Daphnia pulex: one gene and its partners. The protein of the gene in region 2 purifies or fractionates together with the protein of the main gene of each other region. This does not show direct contact. Links are inferred from orthologs where the notes say so. Each region holds a gene or a part of one and is shown on either strand. Other genes may lie near its edges.

Region 1 (4,509 bases), on a different chromosome or scaffold from region 2:
CAAAAGCAAAGGCAACGTACTTGTAGTAGAGCACGTTAACTTGACACGTGGAAAAAAAAAGTATATACCTAAATGAAATTGTCGTAGCCAAAAGGAGCGGATGCACCATTTCCGCTTCCAGCTAGCAGCAACTCAGCCGTGGTATAAATCGAATGATTTAAAAAAGCTCAGCTGAACGCGCACATTTGATTATGCCGTGAAAAAATCGGCAGCTCGAATTGTGTTCCTATTTCAAGTTACTGGGTTACACTGGGATATTCTAAAAGTAGTTTCGACAAAGTTCAATTCAAATGGCACTTACATTTTTTTTTATTGACACTATTTGCCAAGAAGAGATCCGGTTCGATAAAGTTAAAACCATCTATAAGTGGAAGAATGCATGGAATTCCAAAGTCAGAGTTTGAAAGGCAACAAAGGGACTCACATTACCTGATTGATTGATTTTTAGCTGCATATGAGATTCGTCCTCTGTTGGATTTAGATAAAAAAAAGTTACATAGAAAGTTGAGTCACATAACTTTTAAAAATAAACGGAGGTCGTTGGTAACAACGATTGTCACGTTCAGGTATATGGGGAAAGAATAAAATAAAATGTCGGAATACGGGAGAGGAAAAAGGAAATAAAGTTGAATCGTCAAGACCGAAAAGGGAGTTAAGAAAAGATTTGATCATTATGATACATCGTCATTGACAATTGTTTCTTGCTTGGAACGGGAGCGTCGACTGCCGGATTTTCTGGATCGATCAGAGCGATTCGAATTCTTGGAGCTCAGCAAGCAATCTAATTCAATTTCATTGCCGTCGTGGCGTTCAGATTGTGAGCGACGATTACGCTCAACGCGATGACGCCTGTCGTAGGAGCGTTTAGGACGTTCGTCTGAATCGATAACGGCATTGGCAGCTTCAACCGCCGCTTTGTGGTCCTCCTCTCGTAGTTTTTCAAGAAGGCGGGCGATAGACGAACGGTCCAACTCAATTGCTTCGACCCCGCGAGAGCGGGCGCTTCTGTTCCTATTGGACCTGCCACTGAAAATTTAAATGTCAACGCCAATTTTGCAAACGAATGCAAATGTGCTAAATATTTACCTGCTCTTGGAACCGTTGAGTTGTCGATCATCAGATTTCTTCTCCGATTTGATGGGCAGCAAATAATCGAGCAATGATTGCGAAGGCGAACTTAGGCCAGGCCCGCTGGCTGATATGTGATCCGATACGTCTGATGAGCTTCCATTGGGTGACCCATCGGCTTGACCTCGTTCTCTGTGGCACTTTGAGCTCGAGATGTTCGTTGGGGCCGATGTCGACGGTTTCGGCAGCGATTTACGGACGGCTTCCGGTGAAGTGGATGCCGAGGATGATGGTGACGATGAAGAAGAAGATGAAGTCACCTGTGTGCCTTTAGACACAGACTGCGTTGTTGTTTTAGCACTCTTGGTAGAAATAGGTCGAAGCGTCGATAAACTGGGCGACGTCTGTGTGGCCACGTTCCACGTCACGGCAGTTTGAGTCGACTGGGTGACAGGGACCGTAGTAACTTTGCATGATTCTCCATTATCGATGTCACTTTCGTCGCTACTTCCGTCGCCCGGCAGGTTGAGCGAGAAGCGCTCAATTCGTTCCAGATCGACTTGCGATGATTGCCGCTTGTCATTGGGTTGAACCTGGACAACAGTGCTCGCTCCAGCTGATCCAAGAGGAAGTAATTGGTTTCTACGTTTGGTAATGGCCGGCAAGATTTGCGAGCCTTTAGAACTGGCCAGTGAAGTGATACTTCCTCGGCGATTTCTCAGCGCAAGTTTAGTAATGGCTGGCAATATTTGCGACCCTTTCGAACTAGCTTGAGACGTAATACTTCCCCTGCGTCTCAGCGCCATTTTTCTTCCGCCCCGGAGCAAATTATTACGTTTACGACCTCCATGGCGGAAGTGTAGTCTAGTGAGCCGCTCCAAATCCGTCGTTTGTTGAGAATGTACCGAGTATTGTGAATCGAATGAGTGACGGCGAGACTGACTGGCTCTCGATTCGACCGAAATACGCCGGACGGCGCTCATGCTTATTTCGGAATCCAGCGAATTGCGCCGCAGTCCAAAGGCTCCAGCCGCGCCGACGATAGCGCCACGGCGTGTGACGAATTTGGGAATGGCGGCAGCCCATGCAGAACTGACGTCATTGGAAGCGGCGCTATTCAGATCAAGGTTGCCAAAACCGACTGGATCGTCGTGCGTACTGTGGATACTGATAGACATCCGGCCCATGTGATTCAGATCTCTTCGCTTGGCAAACGCCTGAGCAATGATTTTATGTTTGCGAATGCGAACGCGTTCATCCAACGGTCTCTTGTTGAAGGTCCTGGAAATAAAAACGATGTTTACATGCAAACAAGCCGACAGGGAGTAAACAAGAAGTGTGTATACCTTCGGTACCACCTCCGCCAAGCCAGGACGGAAGCCTTTGTCCAGACCCACGAAGATACGGCTACACCAGCTCCAAAGACGGCAATCAAATGAACTTGGGTGATGGTCATGCTCGGTCGAGATTCCAATTCACAGTCATCGGCAAGGCCTTGATTCTGAATGCGAGAGGTGTTTTGATTGGCCAGGCATCTGCAATGTCAAATACGAACGTTGAAAAAAACACAATGAATTTTTCTTTTAGTTAAAAAATTATTGTTTTTAAGTTTGAGGGGAAATGGTAAATTATTCAACTTGATTACTTCAAAACGGGGGCGTAAAATACCTATTTTGAAATTATGGGGCTTATAAACGTTTCGAGGTAACAAGCCTCCTACACATAAAACGACATTTATATGCTGGAACTAATTAGTTTGGGGGGGGGGGGATGAAAGCGTTTCGTGGGAAGGAAAAGATAATTATTTTTTTTGTAGTAGTACAAATTGAAAAAAGTCTGGATAAAAATAGTTTGGTTTCATAATTAATTGAATTTTTATAAGGAAAGATTGGCAGAGAAAATTCAATTTCAGTTAATGATCTGGATTTAGAAGGAAACTCTTATTAGCGTTGTTGGCGAATTTCTGCACGTGGCACAGAAACGTGCCATCTGAAAATGAATTATTAATTTATTGGATAGAAAAGCGGCTGCGCACTAGTTTTATGGGGATAAATAGACTACAAGGCCATGTTGAAATTGGGTGCGATAGCCAGGACTACCTAAAGCAAGTTTAAATTCCGTACTCATATAGACGCCATGATAAAAACCAGTATTAATACCCCATGAAAATAAGAGTGATAAGGAACGTGAAAAGCTTAGCTAATTTAACTACAAGTAAAAGTATTATGATTTAAGCGGAGATCCTTAGATACAATTTTTTAAAAATTACTTACACCATGTAGGAGCGGAAGGAAGTTTTCCACTGAGTTCGTCTATCGAATTCGTAAACATGGCAGAAAATGGACAAACCGATAGCACAGATAATAGAGGCTGAGAACGAGACGAGTCGAACGATGGTGTTGCGTAACTTGGAATTGGCGGAAGCGGAGATTGAGGCAGCGCTGCCCAGTTTGAGACGAATCAAAATAAGCAAACCGCGGTAGAGAAACACATGGCCAATGAAAAGCAAGATCATTACAGGGGCCAGAACGAAACCAGACCGCACCACTTTGCTGTTGGCCACGAAACAAATTCCATGAGGACTTTGTGCTTCGACCTGCGTTGGAAATAAATAAATATAAATCAACAAATACGTTCACACATAAATTCCTTGTTTAAAATAAAACTCAACCTGTGCTAGCGCCATGCATGTAATTGTAAGGACCAGAGGGATTGACCAGGAGACCAAGTGAAAGTAAGCAGCTTTGGAGCTGACTTTCTCACGGATTTTACCTAGAGAGATTTCAATGATGACATTCAGTTTTGTCTTCATTCTTTTTGGGGTGGCAGTTAAAAAAAATTTAAAATTCTACCCAGGGCTTGGAAGCTGACGAACCACGAATAGGCTAGCATGACAAACCAAACACAAGCAGCCATGAGAAAATAATAGATTAAGATGAATATAACAACACAAGACAGCGTTTCTCCGCCACTAAAATAAAAAAATAAATCAAACGAAATCGTGAAAGCATAAAACCAAAATTGCTACAGACATTGAAATGCGGCTTAAGCTGAGTTGGCATCATACCTTGGTTCTGATACACGAGCTGTTCCATCTTTCCGGCATATGATATCCTGTCTAGCACTGGGAATATATTGAGCAATCCAACCGATACAAGCGGCAGCGAAGCATACGTTCATGTAAAAAATAATAACGGCCGGGTAGCGTGAAGCGGAGCGCCAGTCAATCATGAACGTAAACTTCACATAGCAATCGATTGATTATTGATTCATTTATCTCCATATTCTAAACGTGTTTATTATCTTACCACAGCAAACAAATTGGTGGTGAGGCACATGGCGACCAGAGTCTGTGTGAATCGTTGGACTTGTTCATGTTCCTCCTTTGTAAACAGCGGGGAAGTGCAAGGCAGTCCGCATCCGTCAACTCCTTCAACATAA
Region 2 (3,428 bases):
GATGGATGAACGGTGGACAGGGCGTCCAGAACATGAACGGAGGAGTCGCTTATCCTCGCCAGAGCCAAACACCCGGAGCAGTGATGCCGTCGTACACGCAACAACCGACTCAGGGCCAGCGAGAGATGCGACGGGCGTCGGATCCAGTCCGGCCGATGGCTGCTCAAACGGCGGTTCCTCTTCCGCCACTCAACTCCGCACTGCAGAGACACCACAGCGTCAACAACGTACAACAGCAGCCGATGATGCTCCGTACAGCTACCGCCACAGGGACTAACAATCCGGCCGCCCGCGGTGTCAACGGGTATCCTCCCAACCACCCCAACAGCGGAATCGTCTTGGAAGAAGTCGGTGAGGGTCACATGGTCGAAGAGAAGCTTGTCGTTCCTGACGAAATGCTCCAGTATCTCAATCAGGTAAGAATTGAACGACTAATTAATCGATTAAAATTGTTCTCTAACGGATTTGAATTTTGTTTTTAAAAAGGTGAGCGTCAATCAAGATGGAAGAATGGCCTCTCCACGATCCTACTTTATGGGTCGAAGCCCTCGACCGGATTCGGCTCCGCACAACCAGTTCAGGGCGATGCAACAACAACACCAACAGCAACAGTTCCACCAATTTCAGCAGCAACAACAGCAGCAACAACAGCAGCAACAACAACAACAACAGCAAATGACTAATCAGTACAATCCAGCGACAATGATGGGCAGTCACAATTATCCAGGTCACCATCAGCCCAACAATACCATGGTTGGCTACAACAACGGAGCCGTCATGCACATTAGTCCGACGCCTTCCGCTCGCAATCAACTGGGAATGCAAGCCAGTCCGGCATTGGCGGCCACAGCTCCTCAGCACTTCAATGGGCCGGCCGTTTGCCATCAAGCTCAAGTTGGCCAGCCTCAAGGCCAACAGCAACAAGCTCCTGCGATGTACGGCACCTGCCCAGCTCAACAACAATCACCTGTCGTCGCCAGCGGTGTGGTGGCAGCCCAGCAAGGGCAACAACAACCAAATATGGTCGGATGTAACGTCATGCAGCCGTCAAACTACTCGCAGGCTGGAGCCAACTACGGGCCAGCCCACGCGGCCGGCGTCAATGCCATGCCTTACAACAACTACAACAACCAACAACCTGCCATGGCGATGAATAATGGCTACATGATGAATCAACAATGCGGTCATATGCAAGCCGCCCAACAACAAGCCAATCCGGTTGCCCAGGGATTCAACAATCCTTGCTCTCCGTGCACCGGCCATCATCACCAACAGCCCCAGCCCGTCTGCAACAACAATCCGGGAAACAACCAAAATTGGCAATGCGGATATCCCACCCCCAACAACATGACGCAACAACAACAGCAACACCATCAGGCGATGCCGTTCCCCCAGCAGCAACAACACAATAATGTTGCGTGGCAGAACAACGCCATGCAAGGTCCAGGAAACGGAGCGTCCAACGTCCAGGTTCCGCCGACCAATGCTCAGTCTTTGATGTACAACAACATGCAGAGCAACGCTGCGATGGCCTACAACAACTATCCTCGTCCGCCACCTTACAGCCAAGTGGCATCCGCCATTCAATGCCAAGATGTGAGCCAGTCTCAAGATTTCATCAACCGAGCTCGCGTTCAAGGAGCTGCCCAGCAGCAGGGGCCATCAGCTACCCCGGTCCAGCAGCAGCACAGCCAGCAGATTAACAACGCGGCCACAGCCGTTCCGTCTGTGGCTACCGGTGTCACAACGCCGAGTAATATGCGTCCTGAGACGTACCAGCGCACATTGGAATATGTCCAGCAGTGCCAATCTTGGTCATCGACAGGAGACGGCAACAATGGCGGACGAGCGGCTAAGGAGAACAAACCACCCCAGCAGCAACAACAACAACAACCTGGGGCTTGCGAGCCTCAAATGACCAAGACGGCCGAGACGGCCGCTGTCGGACGGGCCTTGCTTTCCCCTGGCCAGGACGCCGTTTCCAGCTCAACGGATCGACAGGAAGCGGCGGCGGCGGCGGCTGCTGCAGCTCTGTTGCCTTCCTCGGCCAACAACATGGTTGTTAACGACATGAACACTTCACTCAATTCGCTGATGCAGGAGAACCGTTTCTTGCAAATGATTCAGTAGTATAGCAACTGTTGCGTACTCTGCTTCTTCTTCTTTCTCGTTGAGTGAGTTCTAGTGCAATAAGCTGGGCAAACCGCACGCCAATCAGAGCCGACAAATTCGTCTCTTTTGGCTGGGCTCCGATGGAACAAGACTGCGTGTGAAGATCTCGCCTCAATTACTCTTTGTTTTTGTTTTTTTAATTATTATTTCTTATTTGTTCAGTGCTGCCTACGTGTCTTAATAATAATTTGAATATTCTTGTACATTAAATTGTGTTCCGTGGAGACTCAATGACGTGCGCCGAGTGCCAAAAGGGGAAGAAAAAACAATTTTGGCCGTTATTTCGTATATACTGTGTGTGTGTGTGGTTTGTGTCTCTGCCTTACTTTTGCAGCTGTTACTTCCCCCTTTTTTGGGTTTGGGAGGTGTTTTTGTGGGAGGGGAGATGTGTATATGTGTGCCTTTGCGTGTCCTTGTTTCTCGTGCCTGTTCGAATAATATTTGTTGTGATACTGCCTTTTTCGAATTAGTTTGTTTGCTCCATCAATCATATCTCCGGTGCCTTGACAGCTTAATGATTTTGCTGCAGTGCCATATCGGAGCGCCTTGGTACCATGACAGTTGTATAATGATGTGAACATCATCATATATATATATTCTCTTGAACAGCAAGATTTTTTGCATGTGGACTGGCCCAAATGGCAGCCTATGAATTGTGCTTTGTGGTACTTGAAAACTGTACTTACATGTTCAATAAAATAAACTGTATGTCTGTTGAAATGTTACAGTCTCTCTATTTTTCACAATCATATACACTAACATACATTCTAAATCATCCCCTATATGGCGTGTTGTTGTGCATAAAGGTGTCCTTTGTTATATGGAGTCCTGCCACACATAAAGAATAATAAAAGGCAATTAGATAAAGAATGAAGATCACAATCTCAAGGTATAAATTACTGAAAGTGTTTTCTTCGGTGGGGGTGACCTGCACAACACTTGTCCGTAGAATTTCCTCTGCTTGGTTTCCAAGCTTGATTAACTGCCAAAAAAATAACAGGGTATCACTTGGAATGTCGGCACGAAACGAGAATGATCAACTTACTTCTGCTATTGCTTCTTGACTTGATATTCTCTGATATTTTCGGAATTCAGAATTGATTTTCAGGCGAGCGGCTATAATGTAAATAATTAAAATTCATCAATTAACCTGATATATGACTACATTTCTTATTATTTGTCATATTTCGAAAGAAATTCCTACCATCCATGGCGACTTGATCATTGGTAAACACTTTGGTACGAGTTCGATGTAG
Region 3 (4,259 bases), on a different chromosome or scaffold from region 2:
GCTAACCCCTTCAGTTAGATGCCTGTATCTCTTTTCCACGACCTAGAGGGGCTTTTACATCGACACGTAAGTGTAAGTGCGCTGGGGTGAGGTACGTGATGATGGCGTTAAACTAGAAGGCGAATCTGTGTGAAGAAAGTCCCAAATGAGGATCGTGTCGTCATGAGAAGAGCTTACGATCTGGAACTCATCAAACTGCAGTCGAAAAACTCGACCGGTATGTTCCTAAAATGTTCGTGTGTAAAATAGTTAAGGGATTATTTTTAACCAAGATGTTAAAAGTGAATAATACCACGAGGGTTCGAAGGCAAAGGGTCCCAGCTGGTGCTCTGGGGTCTAGCGCCGCTTGTAAATCCCAAACTTTGATTTTTCCATCGTAGGCTCCACTTACGATGCGTTTGGAATCGAACCTGAATCATTTAAAATCATCCGACAATAAATAAAAATGGTAATAATCATTTTGGGAATCGTTACTCATGCTTTACCTGATACATCTAACTAATTCTTCGTGACCTTCCAGTACGCGTATGCAAGCGCCACATTCAATATCCCACAACCTGCAAGATCATTACAACAAAATGAAAATGAGATCTACAAGAAATTGTTAAGCTGAAGGCATTTACCTAATAGAATTATCGGATGATCCAGAGACGACTAATCTGTCCCTGTATTGCAAGCAGGCAATGCCACGCTTGTGTCCGTTTAATGTCCGAACAAACTCACAGGTTGCTGTAGACCACACCTTGATGGTTCGATCACCCGAGGCAGAGACAATGTACTTGTCATCAAAGTCAACAACGTTCACAGCTGCACGATGACCAACAAGCACACGACGGAGGTTAATTTCAGTGGGACTCACCATATCCCACACAGCAATACTTCGGTCCTGAAAGATTTAAAAGGCCACATAAATATTTACAAATGCTATTTTTACAAGCTTTTAAAGTTACCTTGGAACACGTAACCATGAGTCCATGAGCAAACCGTAAATGAAGGACGGCTTCACAGTGGTGAATGAGTGTGTTGACCTTAAAATGGGTAATATTAATAATGCTTTTTATAAAATGATTTAATTAACGTACCATTTCCCCGTTGTTGAGATCCCACACTCTGACAGTTGAATCAGACGATCCGCTAATTATCACGCGCTCATCGTACTGTAAACAAAGTACGGATCCCGTATGTCCAGTAAGAACCTTCAAGGTAAATCAATAAATAAACAAGTAATTAAATCTCGCAAACTAATGAAAACCAACTTTTGCACATTGGAGAGTTTGTCGATCCCAAATCTTTATGGTATTATCTCTCAACCCAGAGACAATTCGTCGGTCATCATACTGGAGGCAGTAAACACCCTTCGAATTTTCTGATCTACAGTTTATCCGTTGCAGTGTATGTCTTCCACACCGCCAGTTGTTTTCAATTTGTTCAATGTCCTTAAGGATGCGTGGATATAACTTTCTGTAAAAGGAATGATCTGGCTGTTGTTCACCAGGACGGGGTTTGAAAAGATAGGCTCCCCATCCTCGTCGTTCACTCAAGCCTCTCCATAGAGAATCTGTTCGTACCTGTTATAAAGAGATTTTTAAAATTTTGTTTTCAAACTTATACTCATAATTTTAAAGATATACTTTTCTTTCAATGAGTTTTTTCCATAACATTCCATCTGCAATCACACGTCTCCATTCTTTGCAGACTAGTTCAGCATTTCTAAGACTACTATCATCCAGGTAACTTAAAATATTTTCTGCTATATGGTCTAAACCTTTTTCTAAATTTCAAATAAAAATTAGTTTAATTTGTACTATTTCAAATTTTGTTTTCCATGAATTACTGGGCAAGAATGATATAAAATCTCGTTGAAGCATTGGTTGCAAAAACGAGTTAATGTGGCCGTGTTGGTAGTGACACATTCGCTGCAATAACTGCTCCACGAATTCCACCTGGGAAACAATTATTGTTAAAGGAACATGATTATAAACTAGAATAAAAATAGTCTTCACACCTGATCAGATTCTGGCCAAGAATCAAAGCACTTGAGACAAGGTTCCTTTTCAACTAGGTAATTGGACGATAGTTCGGAACGGCTTCGTACAAGGCTGAGCATCGTATTTGCCTAGAATGAATGCACAAAACACTTCAGCTATTGAGAAATATGCATAACAACACTAACGACGAGCAAAGAAGAACCAAGGACAAATCTCGGAAGTTGACAAGGAAATATTGAAATTAGGCCTCCAACATGGCTGCCATTCCCAGTAGCACTGTCTCTTCTTCTGGATTTATTCAAGGCTTTTCTTCAACTTAAAGAACGAATTTAGCGAGCACGATTTTACCCCAATCGCTGGTGGAACATCTTCCACGATGTTTTCAGCTTCCATTTCACTTCCTTCCTCACTTATTTCACAGCAAATTGACAATACCAAATACTACAAAAGTCTTTCTCTTCCCCAACCCCACTTCCTCTACACTAGGTTCGTTCGAGACTGGCAAACTGACATAAATGTAACGCAGCTAGCGCTCCGGACTACGGTGTCCATGTTTCGAACTTTTCTTGTTTAATGCAGCCAAGGGGCGGGGTTACCTAACAGTCTAGAGTCTAAACCCCCTAAAACCTGCGACTGGTTGGACCTGAGACTTGGAGTCACTATGTTGTGAGCACTAAGCTTGGCGATTTGAACACTGTGGCGCTAACTGTATTTCCAACAATAGAAGATGTGCGCTAATTTCTCTTTTGTGATGACTTGCAGTGCACAACATTGCACAATTTCCTTTATGTCGAGTTGTCGATAAAGGAACCGAGATTCCGAGAAGTCGGTGAGAATGAGACAAATGAGATTTACTGCCGAATTAGTAAAAAGTAGCATTAATGTTCATTTTTTGGCAATTAACTATTAGAACTTTTCTTAATGAAAATTTCTTTACACTAACTTATAGAAGATGCCAATGGTTAAAGTAATCAACCATCAATGAATCCTAGAAAACGAAATAAGTTTGAAAGAATGTAATACTTTAATTCAACATTTTTTTATAAAATTCGATGAATTCATGTACAACTATTTCACAATACATTTATCTTAACAAAATGGTTTATTTTTCAAATTTCCCAAATTGAGAAGCTAACAAGTCAGGTCTGCCGTTTTCACTTTATTTGATGTCGAAGCAATTCAGCCGTACCCTAGCTAGCAGTCATCAAGTTTGTGCTCGATCAACAGGCTTCGTCCGATCGCATGATTATTGTGGTATATAGTAGAACACGATCGGATTTCACGATTTCATAACCTGGAAAACGTACCGGTTGAACAAATGGCGCACTTCTGCGAAGAGAGGAGTTATCCAGTTCTCTTTTGTCAATTATAAAATAAATAAAATAAGGCTAGAACCAAACACTGGCATCATTGACCAAGTTGAATATTGGCCATAGCCAAATAATGAGATTTGTAGGTCGCTAGTCGAAGCGTTCCTGCATTTAAAACGTGGTAAAAAGAAAGCGAGACGAGACTCGCTTCACCGGCAGAAGGTCGAGACTCGAGAGTGAAAGCTCGTAGAAAGTTTGTCCCGCTTGAATAACCTGTGCTAAAATAAAGTTTTCTCTCTTCTTATCAACACGAAGAAAATTTCCAATTCTTTACTCTAAGCGCATCATATAAGAAAGCGATTCACTCATTTTATTGCTGTTAAGTCAACAAGTATCTAAAGCAGGAAAAGTATATTTGCGCAAACTAAAAGTAAAATATTTCGCAATCACAATTTTACGGCACCATCGAGTCATCAACAGTGGTTGCGACATTATCCTTTCTTGCTGTAGCATCAAGCATCCAGATTGGGTTCTTATTATATATCCTTATGGGTTATGGTGTAATCGTATGTTAACATCCTTCAGTAATTCAGTTGGGTGAAAGAGATATGACTAAACTCAAGGCGGAAGTGGTTTTAGGTAACCTTGATGATGCGCTTGCAGGTAAGAATTCCGATGAAAATGATGCAAATAAAAGAAAATGTTAAATTTTTTCAAGCTTGGCCATCTGTCGTTCTAAATTGGAAACAATTGTAGGCAGATAGCCAGCTAGACATCACTGCATCGTGCAATCACCGCACTCCATATGCAACAATGCAAGAGCCAAGAGGTTCAAGTTTTTACTTTTCCAGAGGCAAATTCTATCTTTCTGTTTCCTTATCCAAATTCCACAAGACCGTGCTTTCGGGAGAGGGGGGGGGGGGGATTCCAGTTTACTTAATGCGCAATTTTGTCTTCATTT

Evidence for each region.
Region 1: the proteins of zinc finger protein GLI2-like (region 2) and smoothened homolog purify together in Drosophila melanogaster (affinity purification with western blotting; 3 studies listed by BioGRID, with this or other methods). This does not show direct contact. The link is inferred for Daphnia pulex from reciprocal best matches to the Drosophila melanogaster genes ci and smo.
Region 3: the proteins of zinc finger protein GLI2-like (region 2) and F-box/WD repeat-containing protein 1A-like purify together in Drosophila melanogaster (affinity purification with western blotting; 4 studies listed by BioGRID, with this or other methods). This does not show direct contact. The link is inferred for Daphnia pulex from reciprocal best matches to the Drosophila melanogaster genes ci and slmb.

What each region holds. Positions count from the first base shown.
Region 1 is NC_060027.1:3,198,607-3,203,115, reverse strand, and holds the end of smoothened homolog, read right to left. Parts: coding exon 4,377-4,509; intron 4,309-4,376; coding exon 4,136-4,308; intron 4,040-4,135; coding exon 3,921-4,039; intron 3,841-3,920; coding exon 3,740-3,840; intron 3,665-3,739; coding exon 3,342-3,664; intron 2,604-3,341; coding exon 2,415-2,603; intron 2,350-2,414; coding exon 1,087-2,349; intron 1,027-1,086; coding exon 672-1,026; 3' UTR 286-671; downstream 1-285. UniProt on the Drosophila melanogaster protein: Segment polarity protein required for correct patterning of every segment. G protein-coupled receptor which associates with the patched protein (ptc) to transduce the hedgehog (hh) signal through the activation of an inhibitory G-protein.
Region 2 is NC_060017.1:6,877,378-6,880,805, forward strand, and holds the end of zinc finger protein GLI2-like, read left to right. Parts: coding exon 1-416; intron 417-486; coding exon 487-2,130; 3' UTR 2,131-2,892; downstream 2,893-3,428. Other genes in the region: complex III assembly factor LYRM7-like, read right to left, coding at 2,945-3,000, 3,073-3,154, 3,218-3,288, 3,377-3,428. UniProt on the Drosophila melanogaster protein: Has a dual function as a transcriptional activator and a repressor of the hedgehog (Hh) pathway. The full-length ci form (ciFL), acts as an activator (ciA) while ciR, its C-terminally truncated form, acts as a repressor. Involved in segment polarity.
Region 3 is NC_060024.1:7,565,569-7,569,827, forward strand, and holds the start of F-box/WD repeat-containing protein 1A-like, read right to left. Parts: upstream 2,801-4,259; 5' UTR 2,382-2,800; coding exon 2,337-2,381; intron 2,117-2,336; coding exon 2,006-2,116; intron 1,944-2,005; coding exon 1,835-1,943; intron 1,772-1,834; coding exon 1,632-1,771; intron 1,569-1,631; coding exon 1,257-1,568; intron 1,197-1,256; coding exon 1,083-1,196; intron 1,029-1,082; coding exon 951-1,028; intron 887-950; coding exon 624-886; intron 558-623; coding exon 486-557; intron 411-485; coding exon 293-410; intron 226-292; coding exon 55-225; 3' UTR 1-54.